Danio rerio: one gene and its partners. The protein of the gene in region 2 interacts with the protein of the main gene of each other region in a pairwise test. Links are inferred from orthologs where the notes say so. Each region holds a gene or a part of one and is shown on either strand. Other genes may lie near its edges.

Region 1 (7,722 bases), on a different chromosome or scaffold from region 2:
AATAATCAAAGGTATGCAGATAGATCTGAATATAATTACAAATGTATATGTGCAGTGGATATGTACAATCCAAGATGAATTAATGCAACAGTGCAATGATATGTGCAAATTTAATTGTGCACATTTTAGTGCACAGGGAGTTATGAGGAGAGTATAAGAGGGGCAATTGAATCAGTGGGGGCAGAGTTAAAAAATAATGCATTTAAAGTGAGTCATAAAGGTATCAACTAGTTTGATATACTATGTATGAGTGCCCAATGTTTGTAACTTATGTAACTTTTTAATTTAGTAGCTAATTTGTGTAATCTCATTTGTACATTTTAGTAGGATTTGCTCATCTCCTAATGAGATATGGGTTGAAGGTAAGGTTTGGGTTCAGTCTTAATCAGTGACGTTAAGTAAAAATAAAACTTACCTGTTAGAACTTCGAGGAAAGCAGATTCAACATTAGTCGACTCTAATGCTGAAGTCTCCATAAAAAGTAAGCCATTGGCATCTGATTTTTTCAGACAAGAAAATATCATTAATAATTAAACATTTTCTAATTGGGATTATTCTGTGAATCCATATGCATTTCAATAATAACAAATGTAAAATTGCTAGGGTCTCATTGCACAGAGTGTGTCTTATATTGCACACAGATGAATGAATGAATAAATGAATGAATGAATGAATGAATCAATCAATCAATCAATCAATCAATCAATCAATCAAATAAATATGTGAATGAATGAAATCAATCAATAATGAATGAATGAATGGAATTTGTGGATAATTGAAATAATTGAATCAATTAATGAATCAATCAATCAATAATGAATGAACAAATTAAATGAATAAAATCAATAATGAATCAAATGAATAAATATATCAATCAATTAATGATGAATGAATGGAATCAAATTAATCAACCAATAATGAAATAATCTAATAAATGCATCAATAATGAATGAATTGATGGAATGAATGAATGAATGAATTAATTAATTAATTAATTAATTAATTAATTAATTAATTAATTAATTAATGAATTAATGAATGAATGAATGAATGAATGAATGAATGAATGAATGAATGAATGAATTAATTAATTAATTAATTAATCGATAATGAATAAAAGAAAGAAGGAATAGAATGGAATCAAATCAAAAAATTAATGAATGAATAAATTTATCAAGCAATCTAATCAATCGATGAATGAATCTATTAAATAAATCAATCAAATAAATCAAACAATAATGAATGAGTGAATGAATGAATGAATCAAACAAATTAATGGATGAATGAAGTTAGTCAAAATTTATAAATGGAATCAGTGACTGAATTCCATTAATGAATCAATGAGTGAATGAATCAATCAATGAATCAATCAATCAACCAAATCAATGGATGAATGAAATCAATCAATAATTAATGAATGGAATGAATGAATAAATGAATGAATCAGTTAATGAGTGAATGAATGAACTAAATGAATAAATTAAATTAATAAATAAGTGGAATCGATGAATTAATTAATTGAATGACTTAACGAATTAATTAATTAATTAATGCCTTAACGAATTAATGAAGTCATTAATTAATCAATCAATCAATCAATCAATCAATAATGAATGAATGAATTAATTTATGAATTGAAACAATCAATATTCAATCAATCAAAATGTGTTATCAAGTATTCTCTAAAAGAGGGTGAGCAATGACAACATTAAGGTCCTCTTTCATGCTTGAAATGTCTTAAACTGAGGGCTATAAACTGCAGATACCTGCAAAGTCTTTGGCCTCCTCTGTGGGTACAGTGCGCACAGTTGCCAGGTCATTTTTATTGCCCACCAGCATGACCACGATATGAGGATCAGCGTGATCATACAGTTCCTTCAGCCAGCGCTCCACGCTCTCATAGGTCAGGTGTTTGGTGATGTCATAGACCAGCAGCGCACCCACTGCTCCTCTGTAATACCTAAAACAAACAGCATTACATGTAAACACACAAGAAACTCAATTGCATTTGGCTCACATGATTCATTATTTGGTTTTTAATAAGTATGTATTGCATCCTACGGGGGAAGCTGGGGGAACGGGATGTTGTAATCACACAATATCTACACTTCAAAGTTTACAAGGTTTCGGCCCAGTAAGATATTAATCGTAACAGTTTACAATAAGGTCCATTAAACTTGAACTTTTGGCTAATGTATTTATTAATAATACTCATTAATTTTCCTTCGGCTTAGTCGCTTATTTATCAGGGGTCACCACAGCGGAATGAGCCGCCAACTATTCCACCATATGTTTTACACAGCAGATGCCCATCCAGCTTTCCTAGAGATGGGTTGTGGCTGGAAGGGCATCCGCTGCGTAAAACATATGCTGGATAAGTTAGCGGTTCATTCCCCTGTGGCGACCCCAGATTAATAAAGGGAATAAGCCGAAAAGAAAATGAATGGATGAATGAATACCCCTCCAGCCGCACACTAGTACTGGGAAAAACCCATACACTCTCACATACACACACAGCCAATTTACTTCATCCATTTCACCTATAGCGCATGTCTTTGGACTGTGGGGGATACCGGAGCACCCGGAGAAAACTCACGCCAACACAGGGAGAACATGCAAATACAGAAATGCCAACAGTAATGAACAGTTAATAATGTTAATTAAGATGCTTTTTCTCTGTATGTCAACAACAACATGAACATTTTTATTCAGTGTGAGCATAGTAAGAAGAATTTATTCAGCAGGAATGCATTAAATTTAAATAAAAGTTACTTTAAAGACATATATAATAAATGTATGGATACTGCCATTCTTTTGAATCTTCTGTTAATTAATGAATCCAGGCAAAAATGCATTACAGTTACTACAAAATTATTAAAAAGCACTACAACGATTTAATAATAAATATCTCGAGTACGTTGGCCATGAGAGCTCAAACATGCTGCAAAGATCTAAAATGTGTTGTAATTATATTTTTATCTCTTATTATCTGACAAATTGCACAATTAACTTTAAATTCACTTCGTTTGAGCTCTCTCGGCCACCGTATTCGACCATTAAACCATCAAATAAAATCTATTGAGATACAAAGCTGTATTCAAAATCCTGGTAATTGATAAAAAAATTATACAGATTTTTTTATTCAAACTTGTAATAACAATTGATAAATTTTAATCAAATAAATGCATCCTTGATAAGCATAAAACCCTTAAAATATATAATAATAATAAATTACCAAATCAAAACTTCTAAATAGTATAATTTACTAATCTAGAAGCATCTTTTAGGAAGAACTCAATATTCTGCAGTATTTCAGTAACTATATATTTAACATAACCATGGTTAAATTCTAATTCCTATCGTCTGAAAACTCTAAAATTTAGTGGTAGGACGGCATCAAGGCATTTCCTAATCAAAATTCTGCTTCACTTCCTTCCTCAGAAGGGACCTTCATCTGATTGAATGTTGAAGGCAGCACAGATGTGTCCATCGCACTTCAATTTTAACCCAGTAACTGGGTATGCCAATATTTGACTAGTTGAAATAGAAATTAGGGTGGCACGGTGGCTCAGTGGTTAGCACTGTCGCCTCACAGCAAGAAGATCTCTGCTTCAAGTCCCAGCTGGGTCAGTTGGCATTTCTGTGTACAGTTTGCATGTTGCCGTGGGTTTCCTCCGGGTGCTCTGGTTGCCCCCACAGTCCAAAGACATGCACTGTAGGTGACTTGAATAAACTAAATTCGCCGTATGTGTGTGAAAGAGTGTGTATGGGTGTTTCCCAGTACAGGGTTTGCACCCAAGATTGCATATGCTGTGTAAAATATATACTGGAACAGTCAGTGGTTCATTCCACTGTGGTTACCTCTGAAATAGAGACTTAGCCAAAGGAAAATAAATGAATGAATGAATGAATGAATGAATGAATGAATGAATGAATGAATGAATGAATGAATGAATGAATGAATGAATTAGAAATTTGACTGGTTGAGTTGAAATAATTTTGCATTTTTAAGTGTAGTGGTAGAAACTTTAAAACACAATCACTTTCTATGCTATAGTAAAATAATGCAAAAAGCACTGTAGCTGTCAGTAACTATCCTTTAAACTGTGTACCAAGTTAAAAAGACATATAGGAGTGGTTCTGGGTGTGAGTCTAAATCAATTGCAACAAATTCCAGATAATCTAAAACAAGGAAATGTACATGAATCTGAGATGAAAGGAAGATGAAGTGAGGGACGTACGCTGAGGTGATGGCCCTGTAGCGCTCTAGACCCGCAGTGTCCCAGATCTGGGCTTTGATGGTGATACTGTCCACCTGAACAGAGCGAGTGCTGAACTCCACGCCAATAGTGGTGCGACTGTCATGGTTGAACTCGTTTTTGGTAAACCTTGACAGCAGGTTGCTCTTTCCAACCCCTGATTCTCCAATTAAAACCACTGAAAGACAACCAAGACAGCATTTAACTTACTTTGAATGATGCGTAGTTAAAGGAAAATACAATTTCCACACTTCACTAGTTGCAAACCTGTTTGACATTCTTTCTTCTGTTGAACACAAAAGAAGATATTTAGAAAAATGCTGGAAACCTGTTTCCATTGACTTCCATTGTATTTGTTTTCCTACTATGAAAGTCAATGGTTACAGATTTTTAACTTTCCTCAAAATATCTTCATATCTATTCTGGAACCGCTTGAAGGTGAATAAATAGTGAGTAAATATTAATTTTTGGGTGAACTACCCCTTTCAATTTCTGACACAATTGGAAATACATGAAAATACAAAATAACAAATATCTTTTATATATTAGATTAGCATGCTAGGCATCAGACGCAGCAATCACAGTAAAAGCATTTAATCTTCAATCAGCTGACTGAAACTTACCTTTGAAGACAAAGTTGTAGGCTAAATCTGTCCCCATGTTGTCTCTAGCTGTAATGTGTCAGTCTGTGTTTAGTGCATACGTGTTACTCGAGCTCAGAATCCACTGGGAGGAGAAAAGCAGATGCTCAGGTTTCTCCGACAGCTTTATTGATCCATTCTTGCAGGTCTAAATGCAGATTCAGCCAGACTCTTCTTTGAGACAGTTTGGGTGGGAAAGCAGGTGAAACTGGTAGAACCACTGACACACACACACACACACACACACAATGGGAGTGACTTCATTCTCTCACACACACTACTGTTAAATCACCGTTCCTTCACTCCGACTGCGTGTATGTATCCAGTTCTGTATGCGCAAAAACAAATATCAGAAGAGCTGAGTCAGAAAAACAAGCCGTCCTGCATCAACATGTATCTTTATAGGCAACAGGTTGAGTTTCTGTAAACATAAAATAAAAGGGGTTTTGATTAGTTTGACGTAATCAAAACAAAAGCTTTGAATTTAGCTCATTTTAATGCAAATTTACCTGTTTAGCCCAGTGTTTGGCTCATGTTTAGGCTTGTGAATCACACCTCTGCTGTTCATGCATCTTTTTTCACAATAACCATTGTGTATATTGTTTGGTACAGACAGCCAGGGGTGTGAAATATGTGTGTAATCTTATTAAATGAATGTTCATTCATTCATTTTCCTTCAGCTTTCCTTCAGCTTTCCTTCAAGATCGACACAGTGGAGTGAACCGCCAACTATTTTAGCATATGTTTTATGCAGCGGATGCACTTACAGCGTTGCAACCAGGGTGCGAATTACAGGGGGTTTCGCGGGAGAACTGACCCCCCTAAATAATGCTTTATCCCACCTGAAGCACATCAAAACAGCGTGTATGGGGGTCAGTCCTCTAAAAAGAGAGAAATAGAGGTTACTCTGATTTGTTTCTTAAAAGATAATATAAAAACTGATAATAATAGGGGCGTCACAGTGGCACAGTAGGTAGCACCATCGCCTTACAACAAGAAGGTTGCTGGTTCAAGCCCCGGCTGGGTCAGTTGGCATTTCTGTGTGGAGTTTGCGTGTTCTCCCTGTGTTCGCATGGGTTTCCTCCGTGTTCTCCGATTTCCCCCACAGTCCAAAGACATGTGCTATATAGGTGAATTGGGTATAGACCATAGATAAATTGTCCATAGTGTGTGTGAATGAGTGTGTATGGGTGTTCCCCAGTGATGCAGCTGGAAGGGCATCTGTTGTGTAAAACATATGCTATAAGTAGGCCCACACAGAATCTGCGCACACAGAATTCTGCAGATTTTCCGCAGAATTCTGCAGATTTCTGCAGATTTTTAGCCCATCATTAATTCTGTTTATTTACTTGAGTAAGTGTGTATATCTGAATTTATTCAGTTTTTATTCAGTAATTTATTTCTTTTTATTTAATACATTAAGGTCTTAGTTATGATACTCTGCTGGATACTCCCAAAATAATTCCGCAGAAAACCACAGATTTTTACCAAAATTCTCAGCAGAAATAGCAAAAAACGTCCGCAGATTCCGTCTGGCCCTGGCTATAAGTTGGCGGTTTATTCTGCTGTAGCAACTTCTGATTAATAAATGGACTGAAAATAAAATAAAATGAATGAAAAAAATAGATTATATATACATTTGACCACCCCTATATTTATTCATATCATTGTGAATGCACAATCAGTCTATGTGAGAAACAAATTATTTATCAGTCTGAAACCATCAGATCAAAGCACCGATAGACAACCAAAGTGTTCGTAAGACACTTTTCTTGTAAAACAGCAGTTTGTTTCTACATATAACCTGAAAGTGAACTCAAATTAGATGCATAGTTTTTATAGTTTGACCTACAGTAAACTCTGGAATAGCTAATCAGAGGATATCGTAGGTCAGAATACACTAAATATCGCACAAAACACTGGAAACTTAAATATGTTTATTAATAAATCAGATTAATTAAACTAGCTCAAATAAATACATTCATGTGATTCACTAAAGCATGTATTACACAAACTAACGTTAACATACCAAAAAGGTTACCCTCCTGTTGGTGAATGTATAATTTGCACCTTGGGCACAACCCAGTACTGGAAAACACCCATACACTCTATCATTCACACACACATTCATACACAGGGCCAATTTAGTTTATTTAATTCACCTATAGCACATGTCTTTGGACTGTGGGAGAAACCGGAGCACCTAGAGGAAACCAACTTGCGGAGAACATGCAAACTCTATGCAACAGCACTAACCACTAAGCCACCATGCCACCTTAAATTAATGTACTTTAGTTTAATTTTTGGGAAACGTTTTTAAATGACAAAAATGTAATTTATATTGAGTGCTTGTGCTTGATTTGAAGAAAACCATTAATTTTATAATGCCTATCATTTTATTTCACTTTGAAAAGTAATTGCTTCACTGTTGTTTTTTCCTCCATCTTACACACAATGGGGTATATGCACACAAACTTTTAATTTCAGTCAGTCAGCCCCATTGCTTCCGGTTAATTGTCATCCCAAACTAAATTGCAGCGTTTAAGATCTGATTTCTTTAAATAACAGCAATCTTCACTGCCTGGCTGAGATGCGATATATAGTGGGTATCAGACCTAGCATAAAAACACTGCATTAATTTATAGACTATTTTTCCACACCATGTCATTAAAATATGGAAATTAATTTTTCCTCAGTATTTTTTTTAAAGTTTTTGCGCTTACTCGCTGCTAATGACGGCGCCTGCATTTAAACGGTTTTTATGCTTTACCAACCAAATATTTAACTGAATGTATTGTAATTATATTACAACATCGATGCTG
Region 2 (6,984 bases):
CTGCGGCCCTTTTGGAACTGAGTTTGACACCTGTGCTATAGACGGTTTCAATACAACACAAGCTGCAGTTGAAGGCTGCGCAGAGAGTGAGTCACCTGACATTAGGCGAGTGGTGCGAGCAGCCGAAAACATTTGTATTGGTTTGTTGAAAAGGCCTTTTGTACAATGCACTGATATTATTAAGGGTGCAATGATTAGCTGATTTCACTTTTAACCCCGCTTTTATTCATTACAGGCTTCTCAACGCTGCATTTCTGGTGCACAGAAAAAAAGCTGCTGCAACTAAAAGTTTTGCCTAAACGCACATTGGATTAATTATTCCAGCAAGCTGTTCACATATTGTGTCTTTTCTGCACACAAATACAATATTTCCTATAGAGACGTGCGCATATTGGGAGCGGCGCACGCACGGCTTGCAAGTGGACCGATGCATTTGCGCCCTGCTGGCGCTCGCAATTTATTTTTAAGTCCAAAAAGAGAAATGGACTACTGTTTGTTTTTTATAAATATTTTGTGCTGTATTTGATTACTGAGCAGCAATAAACAATGCTTTAAAATCTAAGCAGTTTTCTTCTTATTTTCTAAACTAGTAGTGTTTAAAATATAATAAAGGCATAGTAATGGTGATAACTGTGAAACCATGATTATTCTTTAGACTATAATCGTACAACCAAAATCTATAATCATTGCATCCCAAATTGTTACGCAGTTTAAAACATAACATAAGAATGTGTCTGAATGTAGAAAAAGCCTACTGAGCAAGACACTGATTTTGTGCCTCGAAATACAACCTTTAGATATGCTTGTAAAAAAGCCACATTGTACAATGCAGTGATGATATGCAGTTTAAAAATACAACATATTAACGTTTTAATGTAGAAAAAGTCAACGTGGGTGTCTTTATGACCACAAATACAGCATATGGGCTCTTATATGCTGTTGTGTCATCACTTATATTGCTAGTCATATCTCTCCGGCCCCTCGTTTGGGATGCTTTTTATGGACTGGCCCCCACGACAAACTAATTGAATAGCTCTGGTCTACACCTACTCCACACTTAAACCCAACCATTACAGTTATTAACGTCTATGCCTACCACAACCCTAAACCCAACCATCACAGTTATTATTGTACTGTCATGACAAACAGACTAAGAAGTCAGAGTTTCTAAATGACTATAACACTATATCAAATGAATAGGTTGTTGATAAATTTGGAGAAAATTCATAAAAACATTTGCTGAAAATGTTCTCTGGTACATATTTCCACCGGCTTGCTAACAACATCTAGTTTGACATCTCATATGGTTCAATGGGATTTCAATAGATGCAAGTTACGCATCTAACTTACTACAAGTTACGCCTTCTTCATGTTACGCCCATTTCTTGCAGTCCACAAATAGATACTCTTGCTCCGATGACATGTACAAAGTTTTTTTTGCATTGTTTTGCAAGTGTGATAAAAAATACAATTAATTATTATTTACCAATAGAGGGTGGCTACTGTACATTCACAGACTGTTGCCAAATAACTGTGTTTTAAATCCACAAAAAAGTGATTTTTGCATATTATGTCCCCTTAAAAAATTGCTTTTATGAGGTAAACAGAGAGAGAGTGAAAGATAAAAATGCAGTGCTGTACCTCCTGATATAACCTGCGTATGAACATGCCTCGGGTGAATGCTTGAATGGTGATTACAGCCCGACGGACCCTCAGATACTCCCGGCGAACCTGTACCATGCGGTACTGCTTCTGACAAATGACTGCTGCTCGGGTCAGGCGAAGCATCTCTGCGTACCTGAGAGACAATGAGAAAAGTTGTAATTGAAGCATTAGCGCTTCCTGCTATTATTCCTTTTTTAAAAGATGTCATATGAGTCTTATGACACCTAAGATGTAGACGTTTACGCTTAAAATAGCTTAACTAAATCAATGCTAATTTTTGGCTAAAAGCTTAAACACGGTTTTCTTCAGTGACTTTTAATGCAAATCAGCTTATTACAGTCTTAATAATGAACATTAAGTTGAGGTATTATTAATATATTATGATTTAACTATTTTCCAGTACTGGGTTGAGTATTCCACTCTGGCGACCCCTGATAAATAAGGGACTAAACCAAAAGAAAATTACTAAAAAACTAACTTTAATTTATCTAGAGTAGATTTAGTTAACTAAAATTTGATAAATTTAGCAAAATAAAATTAAACTTAAACTACAATCCACGAAGAAGACTGAAATAAGACTAAAATGAAATCAAAATTTGCTGTCAAAACAAACAATGCACACAAGTTAACATAATATAGGTCATGTAGGTCACATTACTAATACAACTAAATGTCTCGCTGCATTTATTTACATTCATGATATCATGATGCATACGTTCCCAGAGGAATCATCAGAACTACAAATGAGGCAATTAAGGAAGATCAGAAACAGCATCTACTGATGTAGAGAATAACTCCCATATTATTGCACTCAAAAGGAAGTTGACTGAGTAACCATAAGGGATCTCCTTAAAATACACCTTTAAGCTAATAGCCATCAACTCAGACACTCACCTGCGTGCCAAGTAACCCCGGCCGTATCTTTGTAAAGTGATGGCAGACTTGCGAATCTTGCGATACCGAATCCTCTGCAGCCATCCTCGCACAGTCTTCTGGATCTTAATACAGGCGAAGCGGAACTTATCGGCTCTGAGCTTCTCCAGATAGGCCACCTGACCCGCCCTGAAGAAGATCTTAGTCTTTCCAAACTGGAACTTATCTGGATCCTGAAGGAGAAACAGAGTCACAATAAACAGGATTACTCAAGATAACTATCTTTGATTGAAAGATATGTCGTCAAATATAAATGTATGTTAATAAAAGATAATGTTGCAGGATTGATTATATATTTAACTCAGAGCAGAAAAATTAATAGTTAATCTGTATTTGTTATAAAAAATTAAATCTGATATAATAAACTCACTACCAGTGGGTCACAGTCACTGCAACAAAGCTGCATTAATTTCATTCATATCAATTCATCTTTATTTCTATAGTGATTTTTACTATGTAGATTGTGTCAAAGAAGTCTCTAGTAAATTAAAACCGCTTTAGTCCAGTTTTCACTGATAAATTTTAGCTTAGTTTAATGTAATATAAATGTCTCTGCTGAGCCCAAACACTGAACACTGAAGAGCAACTCCACTGATGCGCAGCTCCACAAGTCCCAAACCAAGGAAGCCAATGTCGAAGAATAAGCTTCACCAATTGACGAAAGTGAAAAAAAAGCTTTATAAAAAACTTTTTGATCAAAAACAGAAACAATAATATTGTGAAATAATAGATATACATGTGCAGGCGCTGATGAATGCTTGATTATGATTGGCTGATGAACATTCAGCAATTTTTAGATTATCACACGGCTAAAGTAAATCCAGGCACGTCATGACTTTATCACAGCTCCACATCATGACGCTGAAATATTCCACTTATTTAACAGCAAAATTATTCAAAAAAATGAGTCAAAAATAAAAAATTAAACAAAAGTCTTTGGACGAAATGTATAAAAAACAGTCCTACACACAAAAGTGGTTGAGGACAAAAACCTGACAAATATTCTGAAATAAAGTTGAATTTTCAGAGCTGTAACAGTGTAGTGAGTTGCGCTGATGAATGTATTGTTAAAATGAAGTTATGAAGTGAAAACAAAACAAAACAAAACATGGCATCTGTGTGAGACCAGTTGAAGACCAAAACATGACCTCTTTGAAAAGAAATGTAAAATATGGACCATTAGCTCGCTTTTTAAAATGTCTAATCATCTTATTTATTTCCGCCCGTTTTCAGGGCCATACTTCCGCATGCTCCAACTCTAGTGTGACCGCAGCATCAAGGTGTTTACTAGCCTGTTCATTGTAATTAAAATCACAATTTACATTGATTATGGTTATAATTATTATACGCTCAATCAAATCGACCAAAATCCTATTATAAGTGTGCATGCACAGTTAAAGTTAGAATTATTAACCCCTCCTGAAATATTAACTCCTCTGTTCATTTTTTCAATACATTTCTAAACATAATAGTTTTAGTAACTAATTTCAAATAACTGATTTATTTTATTTTTGCTATGATGAAAGTAAATAATACAATAATAATATAGAGAGTAAAATATAACTAGATATTTTTCAAGATGCTAGTATTCATCTTAAAGTGCAATTTAAAGGCTTAACTAAGGTAATTAGGTTTACGTAGGGTAATCAGGCAAATCAGTAGACAATCAAAAAAATATATATAGCTTAAAGGGGCTAATAATTTTAACATTAAATGATACATTTTTTTAAAATAGATTTTATTCTAGACAAAATAAATAAGACTTTCTCCATATGAAAAAAAGATTATAGAAAATATTGTGGAAAAATTCCTTGCTCTGTTAAGCATAATTTGGGAACTACTTAAAAAAGGAAAGAAAAACGAAAAAGAATAAAAGTCACAGAAGAGCTAATAATTTTGACTTTAACTGTAAATGTAATCAGCGTTGAAAACAGCAAGTACATTTGTGGAAGTGATATTTAAACTGGTCTTACCTTGATCAAGATCTCCAGCAGGTTCTTACAGACCTGCTTCTTGTCTCCGACTGACAGATCCTTCTTTGTCATGAGCACTCGATATCTGCTGAAGAAATCTGGATATGTCCATCTAAGAAAAAACATCAGATGTGAAGAGGAAATCAGTTTGAATGACTATTGAAGTCAATACAGAAATATTATGGAATTCTACTGGGGAGACCCTGAGGTTTATAAACTGAAGTCAGATAAATCAAACAAGAAAGAAAAGAGCTGTAGATTGATTACCGTGATGGATAGCCGGCGGCGCTAATGCGAATGGTCTCCAGAACACCACATGCTCTTAGTTGCTGAACAGCTCTTCTAGAATCAAACCTACAGAAAGCAAAAGACATCTTAAAGAATTTAAAAAAAAACAACAACACAAGAAGTTGATCTTGACGCTGGGTTGAGAACAAGAGCGCGTGTGTGTTGGACCACAGGAAATTCGGGGGGGTTATCTAGACCTACCGGATCTTTCTCTTGAGCATAGAGCACATCTCCCGAGAGAGAGGCATTGGGATGCTGCTGTCCGCTCAGGGACCAGAGGCTTACTGACTCATAGCTCTGAGACTGTGTGTTCGAAACCTCAAGAGCATGTGACTGACAATACTCTCTCAATTAAGCATCCTTGAAGGGGCCCTTGTGCTCAGGAATTTTGAGGACACAAACAAGACTCGGCATTTTGCTCAGGGTTGTACATTTTACAAGAAAAATAAGCACATAAATACATTCAACCGACATAATGTTTTTAAAATGTGCATAGTATTTTAGTATACTTAATTATATTTGTGTGTATTGTATGTAATTTGTACATTTAGAGGATTTCTGAGTTTTGCTTTCAATATGTTGATTTAAATATATAGTTTTTGACAATAAAGAGCTTTAGTGAGGAAACAAAGAGACCACCTGAAAATACTCAGTATGGATTTTTTTAGATGTAGTAGGTTTGGGTTTGACAGGCCAGTAGTCAGGGGGTGGGGGTGGTTCGAAAAACTCACCCCCCACCAATAAAAGGTCCAGAATTTGTCCCATACATGAGCTCATTTGTCTTATTTTGACTGCAGTGCCATCATAAACTGAGAAGGGATCAAAGAAGGCTTCCAATAAAAGTAAAAAATTATAGTCCATGTTTTAAAAAGACAGTATATGACGAAAGTGAAATCTTCTTTTACTACAAGTAACTTTTATTTTGAATCTTGGACCTTATTCTTGAAAGCACCAAAAGAAGCCCATATTAAAGTAAGTTTTTATACTAATTAGGCTATTGTTTTTATCCATGAACTTTCAAAATGTACTTTTAGTTACAAAAAAGTTTAGAAAAATCAAAAAGCTCTACATTATTAATATTAATGTTTTATTATTAATGTTTTTATAATTAAGATTCTGATTGAGGAACGTTGAATGTGCTGGCCAGTTTGTTTTTATTTTAAAACTTTAACAGATACAAGATATATGATGTAATAAACTTGTATTTTTTAATAAATGTTTTTCATATTTCTTTATTTAAAATATTTAGTAAATGTTTTAGTACCTCAAAAAGTGTGGTTATGATGACCAATCGACAAGCTAATCCAGCTAAAAATAGTACTTAAAATATCACTAAAATGCAGTATTTAAAGTTCATCATTAAAAAAAAAAAATACGGTGAATAACTGCAAAAAAGCTTTTTGAGAAAAAATGAACAACCCCTTTCACCAGGCTGGCTACGGGCCTGTTGAATAAAATGTTAATGATTGTTTTATTCTATAAAAGCTATGACAATTTGTTTCCCCAAATGTAGATCTTTTTTTTTTTTTTTTTACAAAATGACAATTGGTCGAGATTAAAAATCAGAGTTATTACACCAAATGTGTATTTATGAAGACTTTTGAAGTTAAACATTATTATTGTGTTGTTTAAAATGAATATAAACATGTCTGAAAAACATGGCCCCCTTTTTTGTTGTTATGCAAAAAATACTACAACATCAGTTCTTTAATAAATGACAGAAATTACTAGTTTATCAGTTAAAACAAACTACATTTTACTCTAAACATATATTATACACATAAATCATAAACTGAAAACAGAACATTCTCTTTAATGTACAATCTAGATATTATTAATGATTACAAGAATTAAATTCATGAAACTTGCCTATTTAATTTAAACCAGTTCAAGTTCAAAAATTTATAGTTTTAAAAGATAACTGTGATAATATGTTCACGCTACAGAGGTCTATCAATCAAATTCTGTCCCGAAACTACAAATAAATGTATTTAAATATAGCAAAAAAAGATACATATTTTAAGGGTCTTAAAGCAGTTGCCACATTTAGTTCCCTCACTAGAAACTGAATTTTCAAACCTTGTTTATATCTCTTTTCCAAAACGGACCCGGATATGTTATGCTT
Region 3 (7,784 bases), on a different chromosome or scaffold from region 2:
ATGACACATTGTTTATTGCCACAGGGATAAAGCGTCCTAGTTATATTTAGTCTGGTTTGGCAAACGATTGCTACAGTCACCAGAGCCTCAGGTCCCATGTCTTTGTTTGTGTTTACTTGACGTGGCAGAAAATCTCCCACATAAGAGTAAATCACATATATGTGTCACTACACCGGGTTTCAGCTTCATTGATGAAACAGAAGAAGTGTCAGGTACTGTAGTGTTGTGTCACAAGAGTGTTGTGTCACAACAGCTTGGGGCGTTGCTGGATCTCTATACAGAACACGGCTTTGAAGTATGAACAGCAAATAGACTTAATTAATGTAAGTGCTTCGAGAAGAGAAATGTTTATCCTTGGTGGAACTTGGAACTGGTTCACAGGCTAGCCCAACACAAGACTGACCTGGTGGATTCTGATTTGTAGATATCTATGATATTCTCCACTAGCAGATTTCTCTGAAGGCCGTAGACACCATGCCGATCCAAAACCACCTCATGGCGACATGATGGGCAGCGGAAACGCCCCCCTGTGGACACAGTGGTTGAGGCCCGGTTTTGCCAAAGAGGGTTGGAGGCCTGGAGCAATGAAAGACAAAAAAAGGGGTGCCATTAAAAGCAAACAACTTGATGGAATAGCATTTCACAGACATTAAACATTTAATGCACTGAAAAAAGTGCTGAATCTACCTTGTCTTTCATTTGAAGTACGTTTTTATATTTGATTAAGTGAAAAATTATGGATTCTGATTTTAAAGCAAAAAAGTTACCTTATTTATTATAGTAACTCTAAATACACTCTATATAACAATCTAATTCATGTTTACTTAACTCGCCAGGTCATGTTTTGCCATCTGCCATTACTTGATTCAAATGTGAAGAAAGTCTGTGGCCAAAGTAAATTTTATTTAGACAAGAGAAGCATTCCCATATTATATAAGAAAGCATCAGGGCGTTATGGTGGCACAGTGGGTTGCACGATCACCTCACAGCAAGAAGGTCGCTGGTTCAAGCCCCGGCTGGATCAGTTGGCATTTCTGTGTGGAGTTTGTATGTCCCCCTCAAGTCCAAAGACATGCTCTATAGGTGAATTGGGTAGGCTAAATTGTTTGTAGTGTACTATGTGTGTGAATGGGAGTGTATGGGTGTTTCCCAGTGATGGGTTGCTGCTGGAAGGGCATCCGCTGTGTAAAACATATGCTGGGTAAGTTGGTGGTTCATTCCGCTGTGGTGACCCCAAATTAATAATAAAGGGACTAAGCCGAGATGTAAATGAATGAATGAATGAATGAGAAAGCATTCGCGATGGCAACATATCTTTTTTAAAACATGTTTGTAATACTGCCAGGTCGAGGCTTTAACAACAGTAACGTTAGTCTATTAGTTACTCTGACAAAGATATCTTCAGGTACTGCTTATGTGCCCTCAATAAATACATTTAGCTGAAACAAATTACAGTAATTTTTTAAAGTTACTTTGACCATACAGAAATCTTTTAAATTCATGTTTTTAATAGGAAGCTATATAATATTATATTTGTGCATATACATTAGATTAGTCAGTACTGAAGCCAAATCTGGAGCTTGTCTGACAAAATAACATATATGATAACGATCCAAAAACTAGTACACCCAAATTTTTATTATAGAAAAATATTAAATACAAAATTTTTAAAAAGGAAAAAAACAAGAGAAGCAAAATGATTAAATAAATAAGTAAAAAAAATTGTTGAAACTTTGTAGGTTGTATTTTTATTTATTTATTTATTTTTGTATATTTTGCTTGATTTTTTATTGTATTATCTTTCGATTTCTAAATATGTGTGGTGACTAAAATATTATTTTAATAATTATATCTGTTTTTCATGCACCGAAATACATTGCCTATATCCACTGAGAAATTAATAAAATATTCATTTCAATCTCATTCATACATTTCAGTTTGATTTGCTCATCCACCAATGAGGGGTAGGGACAGGAGTGGAGTTTGAAGGCACATCTCCTTTAAAAAAAAAAAAAAATCTACATTTACATATCAGTGAATGAGTATGAATAGTTACTTTTCTGACAATATACATAGTTATGTTTACTCGTGATATCGGGCTGAATATTTGAGGAGGATTTACTGAAAATGTCTGTGTGAAATGTGCTAATGATTAAGAGTCTAAACATATAGAGGCAAACTAATTTACATGACTCCTGATAATACCAAGGTCTTATGAATATTTTTACCTTTAATCCACATCTGTAAATGGCCTACAGCGTATTTACAACAGTCTGGAGTATATATAATGATGAATTGTCTAGGACTGCTTTTAATTAACATGTTTTCAATAATCTGTTTTGATCTTTTACTGTTGTTCCCTTTAATAAATGAGGTTTGTAGGCAAAGCACTTTAAAAAAGTAACTTTTAAAGGAGCTTTGTAAATTAAATGTGTTATTATTATTGTATTATTCATTAATTTTCCTTCAGCTGAGTTCCTTATTTATCCGGGGTAACCACAACAGAATGAACCGCCAACTATTCTAGCATATGTTTTACGCTGTGAATGCACTTCCAGCCAGAATCAATCTATTTGCCCAAAAAAATGTGTAATGTTCCCATCAGATATCTTTTATAACTGTTAAAAGTATAATTAGAAGCACTCAGTCATGTTGAAGTCTGACCTAATGGCACTCACTTCGCAGAGAGAGAAGAAACAACACTAATAATGACTGCTAAAGGATGAACTTGTCTTGATGATGAGATGAATAAACTAATGCCAAAAGGAGCAAAGTAAAAGAGATTGGCACAAAAAAGAAAGCCTAAATGGATCATTAATCTCTGTATGACAGATGCTATGGTACTTTGAGTTCTGGTTTCATATTAGGCCTCAGCTAAGGGAATACTGTACAACATCATTAACAATATAACTTAAAACATTTTAATATCTGATCAATTAGTTAAGGGATGGACAAACTCGATCTTGGAGGGCTGGTGTCCCTGCAGAGTTTTGCTCCAACACTAACTGAACACACTTGAACATGCCAAAGTGTAAAAAAAAATGCTAGGTTTCACACAATTCGGTACCGTATAGAGCACCAACCCAGACAACATATCACTTTAAAGTATAAAAAAGGTTCATAAACGGCACATTTTTAAACTTTTCAAGGTTATATGTTATTGGAAGAAAGATCAAGGTCCGATAATGTAATTCAAAAGCATAAATAAACTTTTGTAATTAATTTTGTCAGGAATACAACACATCTCTTCACTGATTTATATGATTTTTTTTTTCAAGAAAGATCTCTGCCCTTTTTATTAATGTTTGTGTGTGTTATTTATATTTTATGTATATTTATTTAGTTGCAATTCTTGTAGGTGCTTATGTTGTTGTGTGCGTTTTTTAATCTCCTCCTTTGGGGTGGGATGGGGGACTGAGGGCTTTTGAATGTTCTTGTTTACCCTGAGCTATTGTTTAAAAAAAAAATTGTAACATTGATATTGAGGTTTTTTTTTTTTTTTTTTGAAAACTCCACAAAAACAAACAACAAAATTAAACGAACAAATAAATAAAAGCATCAATAAACAACGTGAATCACAAAAACTGCTAGTTTACAAAATAATTTTACAGTGTATAATAATGTTATTACATTTTAAAAATACATTTAAAATATAATAATTACCATGATTTTTAAAATAAATCAAATGTATTTTAATCATTTGGGTATGTTATCACAAAATGTTGAAATTGCGTTCTTATTGTGTTCGGTGAAATAATTGTATTGTTTTTTGAAAGAAGATTATTCACTTACCAAGTCTGCATATATTTGATCTAAAATACAGCAAATACATTTGAAATTGAAAGTAACTTTTTTTTTTTAAATTCTGAAAATATATTAAAGTACTATTTTTCTGTTGGGGGAAGGGGTGAGGGGTTTAGGGGGTGAATCATACAAAAAACTGCTAATTTACGATTTTTTGGGGGGTGGGGGGCGTACATTGCAGCCGCTATATTAATAACAGGAACTAAGAAAAGAGATCATATCTTCCCTGTCCTTGCCTCATTGCACTGGCTACCTATAAAATACAGAGTTGATTTTAAAATTCTTCATTTCACTTATAAAGCAGTGCACTATTCTGCCCCGGTCTATGTCAGTGAACTTATTAGGCCTTATTCAGCTTGTAGACCGTTAAGATTCCATGACCAAATTTTTTTTTTTGTCCCTCGGTCTTGCTTCAAACCAAAAGGTGATCGAGCTTTCTGTGTCCCCAAGGCTCTGTAACAGTCCCCCCCTGAACATCAGGATTTCTCCTTCATTGGATGCTTTTAAATCTAACTTAAAGACTTATTTTTACTCTCTTGCCTTTGAGTGATGCATGCATGTTATTTATTATTATTATTATTTTTTTAACTTGTATTTTAGTATTACTTTTAAACATATACATTTCCTTGTATTTAATACCAGTTTTTTAGTTTTATTGTCTAGTTTATTTTATTGCAAAGCACTTTGGATCAAATACAGTTGCTTAAAATTGTGCTCTATAAATAAAGTTTGCCTTGCTTCATCTTGCCTTACATTAAAGAACAAAAAGTCTCTTTGCATCATTTGAACCAGTTTCAACTTATAAATCCAAACTCAGTATTTTAAAAACTCATTAGGCATTCTAAAGGGAAAATAGATGGCTTGAAAACACAGATCCTCTTCCAGCTTTTACAATTACAAAAAAGCTCTCAAAAGTTAAATGAGCATTCTAGATACTACAGTTCAAAACAGGCCGTACACTATATAATAACAGCAATAAAGCATTACCTGGAAAACATCATTGGCACACTTCCTGCAGAGATTGTGCTGGCAGGGTAAAATGACGACAGGCTTGCTGAATATCTCCAGACAGATGGGGCAAATCAGTTGCCTCTCCAAGTTCTCCATTGAGCTGGAATCTCCGATCGACGGTTTGAAGCCCAAAGTGAAGTTCATTTGGACACCAAATTCAGTCAATAGCTTAAGATCCTAAACTTCCTTTCCTTCTGTTATTCTCCAGCAGTGCCAGTCTTCATCCAGATGCCCAATCAATCGCCAACCGTAGAGTGGCAGAGGATATATTTGGGCTGTGTTTGTACTGGCTTGGGTTACTGTCCAAACTGCACACCCCCTTAATATCACTTTGAATACCCCAGTTAGCGCTGCATTGAGGGGTCCGGGGTAGAGAGAGAGCAAGAGAGAGGGGTGGGAGAACGGATTGCTCAGAGTTGTGTTATCTGTGGTAACTTGAGCAGAAAGTGGGCATGGCAGACCAAGCAGCTGGTGTGTGCGACTCAAAGGCTAGTGAGACAAGCAGGCCCATGAGCCCGAGCTGGCGCCGATGATATAACCCACCTAAAACAAAGCCTAAGTGCTCTGAACACATAGATTATGTGGATATACAGTGGGGGAAATAAGTAACACGTCAACATTTTTCTCAGAAAACATATTTCTAAAGGTGCTGTTGACTTGGCAGCTTAAAGACGCCTCTCATTTGGAGAATGAAGTCATATGCATTGCTCAGGTGTGACTTTTTTCACTGGCTTCAACAGTGTAAAAGTCTTGATGGCTCTCAGGTCTCGTCTATCAAATCTGATCATTATTTCATATTCTATATTGGATTCAAATCAGGTGATTGGCTGGGCCATTCTACAGCTTGATTTCCTATCTCTGAAAGCATTTGAGAGTTTCCTTGACTGTGTTTTAGATCATTGTCTTGCTGAAATGTCCACTGTGGTTTTATTTTCATCATCCTGATAATGTAGATGTTGGACTGAAGCAGCTAATATTCATTTACAATGATGAAGGGCAGAGTGTTGCTGAAGAACTACTAAGAGATTTCAGCTGCTGTCTGGGCTTTCACTGTCTTTCTACACCTCTCTTTCTTCATGTGTTTAATACTTTTTCCTGTCTCATTTCATTTTATTACACAACACTTAATTTGTAAACTAATTTAGTTGGTTTTCTTTTTATATATGCATTTCATGTTATGTGTTTTATAAATGGTGACATGTTCAATACTTATTCCCCCCACTGTACCTGCAAATCCAGTGTTTACAAATATAGTATATAAACTGTTAAAATGCTGGGTTCCACACAATTCCCTCAAGTTGTCTCAACACAAATAATTTATGTTAACTTAATTGTTTTAATATTATTTTTTTGTTCAATTCACTTAAGTTAACTTAGTTTTTCCAATATTAAGTGTGCCCTAAAAAACCCTTAAGAATTGTGTTGTTTCAGCTTATTTTAAGAGAGTAGTTTAAGCAGCAAAAGACATTTTTTGAAGTGTAGTAATACATTGAATGCTATGCAATGCATTAATATCAGTGTAGTTTAGATTATATTGGAATTTTATTAAGTTTAATTAGTCACATGTAAAAGAGGTTAAGCAACAAAGCAAAATGAAGGTTTAGTAAGACTTTTGTTTAAGTATTTATTTACTACTGGATTATTACCTGCCTGTTATTAAGATATTGGCTGTTTAATAATACTTATTCTACACGCACTATCCTATTCAACACATAAACCCAACTACTACCTCACAAACTGTTAATAAGCAGCTTATTAGTAGTCTAACAAGCTAAAAGTTTTAGTTAATGGTTTATGAATAGCATGAATTATACCTTAAAATAAAGTGACTGAAGCGTTGTAATGTAATGTTGAAAAAAAAAACTATGATTTAACTATTATAAAATGTCTTTCAGAGTGGCGGTAAATCTAAAAACAATAAAAATCTGAGGCATATTCAGAATAATAATTCGATTTCATATTAAAAGTCTTTATTTAAGGATCACATTGCAGCCCTGAAATACTTAATTATCATTTTAAATCTTTATGTGCTACAAACCACCAGATTTTACCATTTTCAGTGAGATTCATGTCACAAAAAAATAATTATTAAACATTTTATATTTAATATTTTAATAAGCAGTTAGTAATAAGTTTGTCTAAATTTTTAAACAAGTTAAGCTGGAGGTAAAACATTATCTTGCACATTCTGACATTTTATTTTGACAGAAGTTATCTGAAACATTGAAACCACATTTACTTTCATTTTAAATGCTACAGTATGTACACTGTAAATAGCTATTAGTTACTTAAAGTAAGTTCAAGAGTTCACACTCAGCAGATGATTGATAATAAAGCCCGTTTGGCATACTGTCCCGGGAGAAAGCACTGAGCTTATGAGATCCTTGAGCCCTGGGCTCCCTCCCGTTTGCAGGGCGAGAGGGGAGTTTGAGTTCAGATAGATCTCAATGAACTCCCCCTGGCTTATTTCTGGCTAATGACCGATATACTGTATGATGGCTGAAAAGAGGTGTACTCGCTAAGAGCTTGGCTATGGTATCAATTTGGTATGCTCAATTTACTTAGGTTGCGTGTTTTTTGGGTTGTGGGAGGAAACCAGAGACCCAAGGGAAAACCCACTCGAGCATGGGGAGAATGAGCAAACTCCACACAGAAATGTCAACTGGTTTAGAATGGACTTTAACCGGAGACATTTTTGCTTTGAGGCAACAGTGCTAATAACTGGGCTGCCGTGTCTCCCATGTAAAAAGGAGGGGGTGTAAGGGTGGTTGGGGAGGGGGGGGGGGGTTCTTCAAGACAAGAAATATTGAGATAAGAAAACTCTGGTTATTTATAGTGAGTTAGTAATCATCTGAATGATGAATCAATCATAAGCTGATGGGAGACCAGCTGAGAACAATCATAAGCACGTGATCCTCTCGAAATTAGTTTATAAATAAATCTCACTTTATTTGTTTCCCTAAAATTAA

What was found. The genes of interacting proteins can lie anywhere in the genome.
Region 1: the proteins of myo5b (region 2) and rab25a interact in binary tests that used the Homo sapiens proteins (3 or more experiments, as listed by UniProt). The link is inferred for Danio rerio from reciprocal best matches to the Homo sapiens genes MYO5B and RAB25.
Region 3: the proteins of myo5b (region 2) and trim54 interact in binary tests that used the Homo sapiens proteins (3 or more experiments, as listed by UniProt). The two-hybrid records come from large-scale screens. The link is inferred for Danio rerio from reciprocal best matches to the Homo sapiens genes MYO5B and TRIM54.

Annotation. Positions count from the first base shown.
Region 1 is NC_133194.1:8,471,615-8,479,336, forward strand, and holds the start of rab25a (ras-related protein Rab-25a), read right to left. Parts: upstream 5,072-7,722; 5' UTR 4,920-5,071; coding exon 4,883-4,919; intron 4,438-4,882; coding exon 4,242-4,437; intron 1,961-4,241; coding exon 1,767-1,960; intron 497-1,766; coding exon 416-496; intron 1-415. UniProt on the Homo sapiens protein: The small GTPases Rab are key regulators of intracellular membrane trafficking, from the formation of transport vesicles to their fusion with membranes.
Region 2 is NC_133196.1:23,940,791-23,947,774, forward strand, and holds part of myo5b (unconventional myosin-Vb), read right to left. Parts: intron 5,146-6,984; exon of another isoform or gene 5,108-5,145; coding exon of another isoform or gene 5,061-5,107; intron 4,926-5,060; coding exon 4,839-4,925; intron 4,684-4,838; coding exon 4,572-4,683; intron 2,772-4,571; coding exon 2,560-2,771; intron 1,799-2,559; coding exon 1,642-1,798; intron 1-1,641. UniProt on the Homo sapiens protein: May be involved in vesicular trafficking via its association with the CART complex. The CART complex is necessary for efficient transferrin receptor recycling but not for EGFR degradation.
Region 3 is NC_133195.1:42,033,918-42,041,701, forward strand, and holds the start of trim54 (tripartite motif-containing protein 54), read right to left. Parts: upstream 5,072-7,784; 5' UTR 4,960-5,071; coding exon 4,792-4,959; intron 577-4,791; coding exon 404-576; intron 1-403. UniProt on the Homo sapiens protein: May bind and stabilize microtubules during myotubes formation.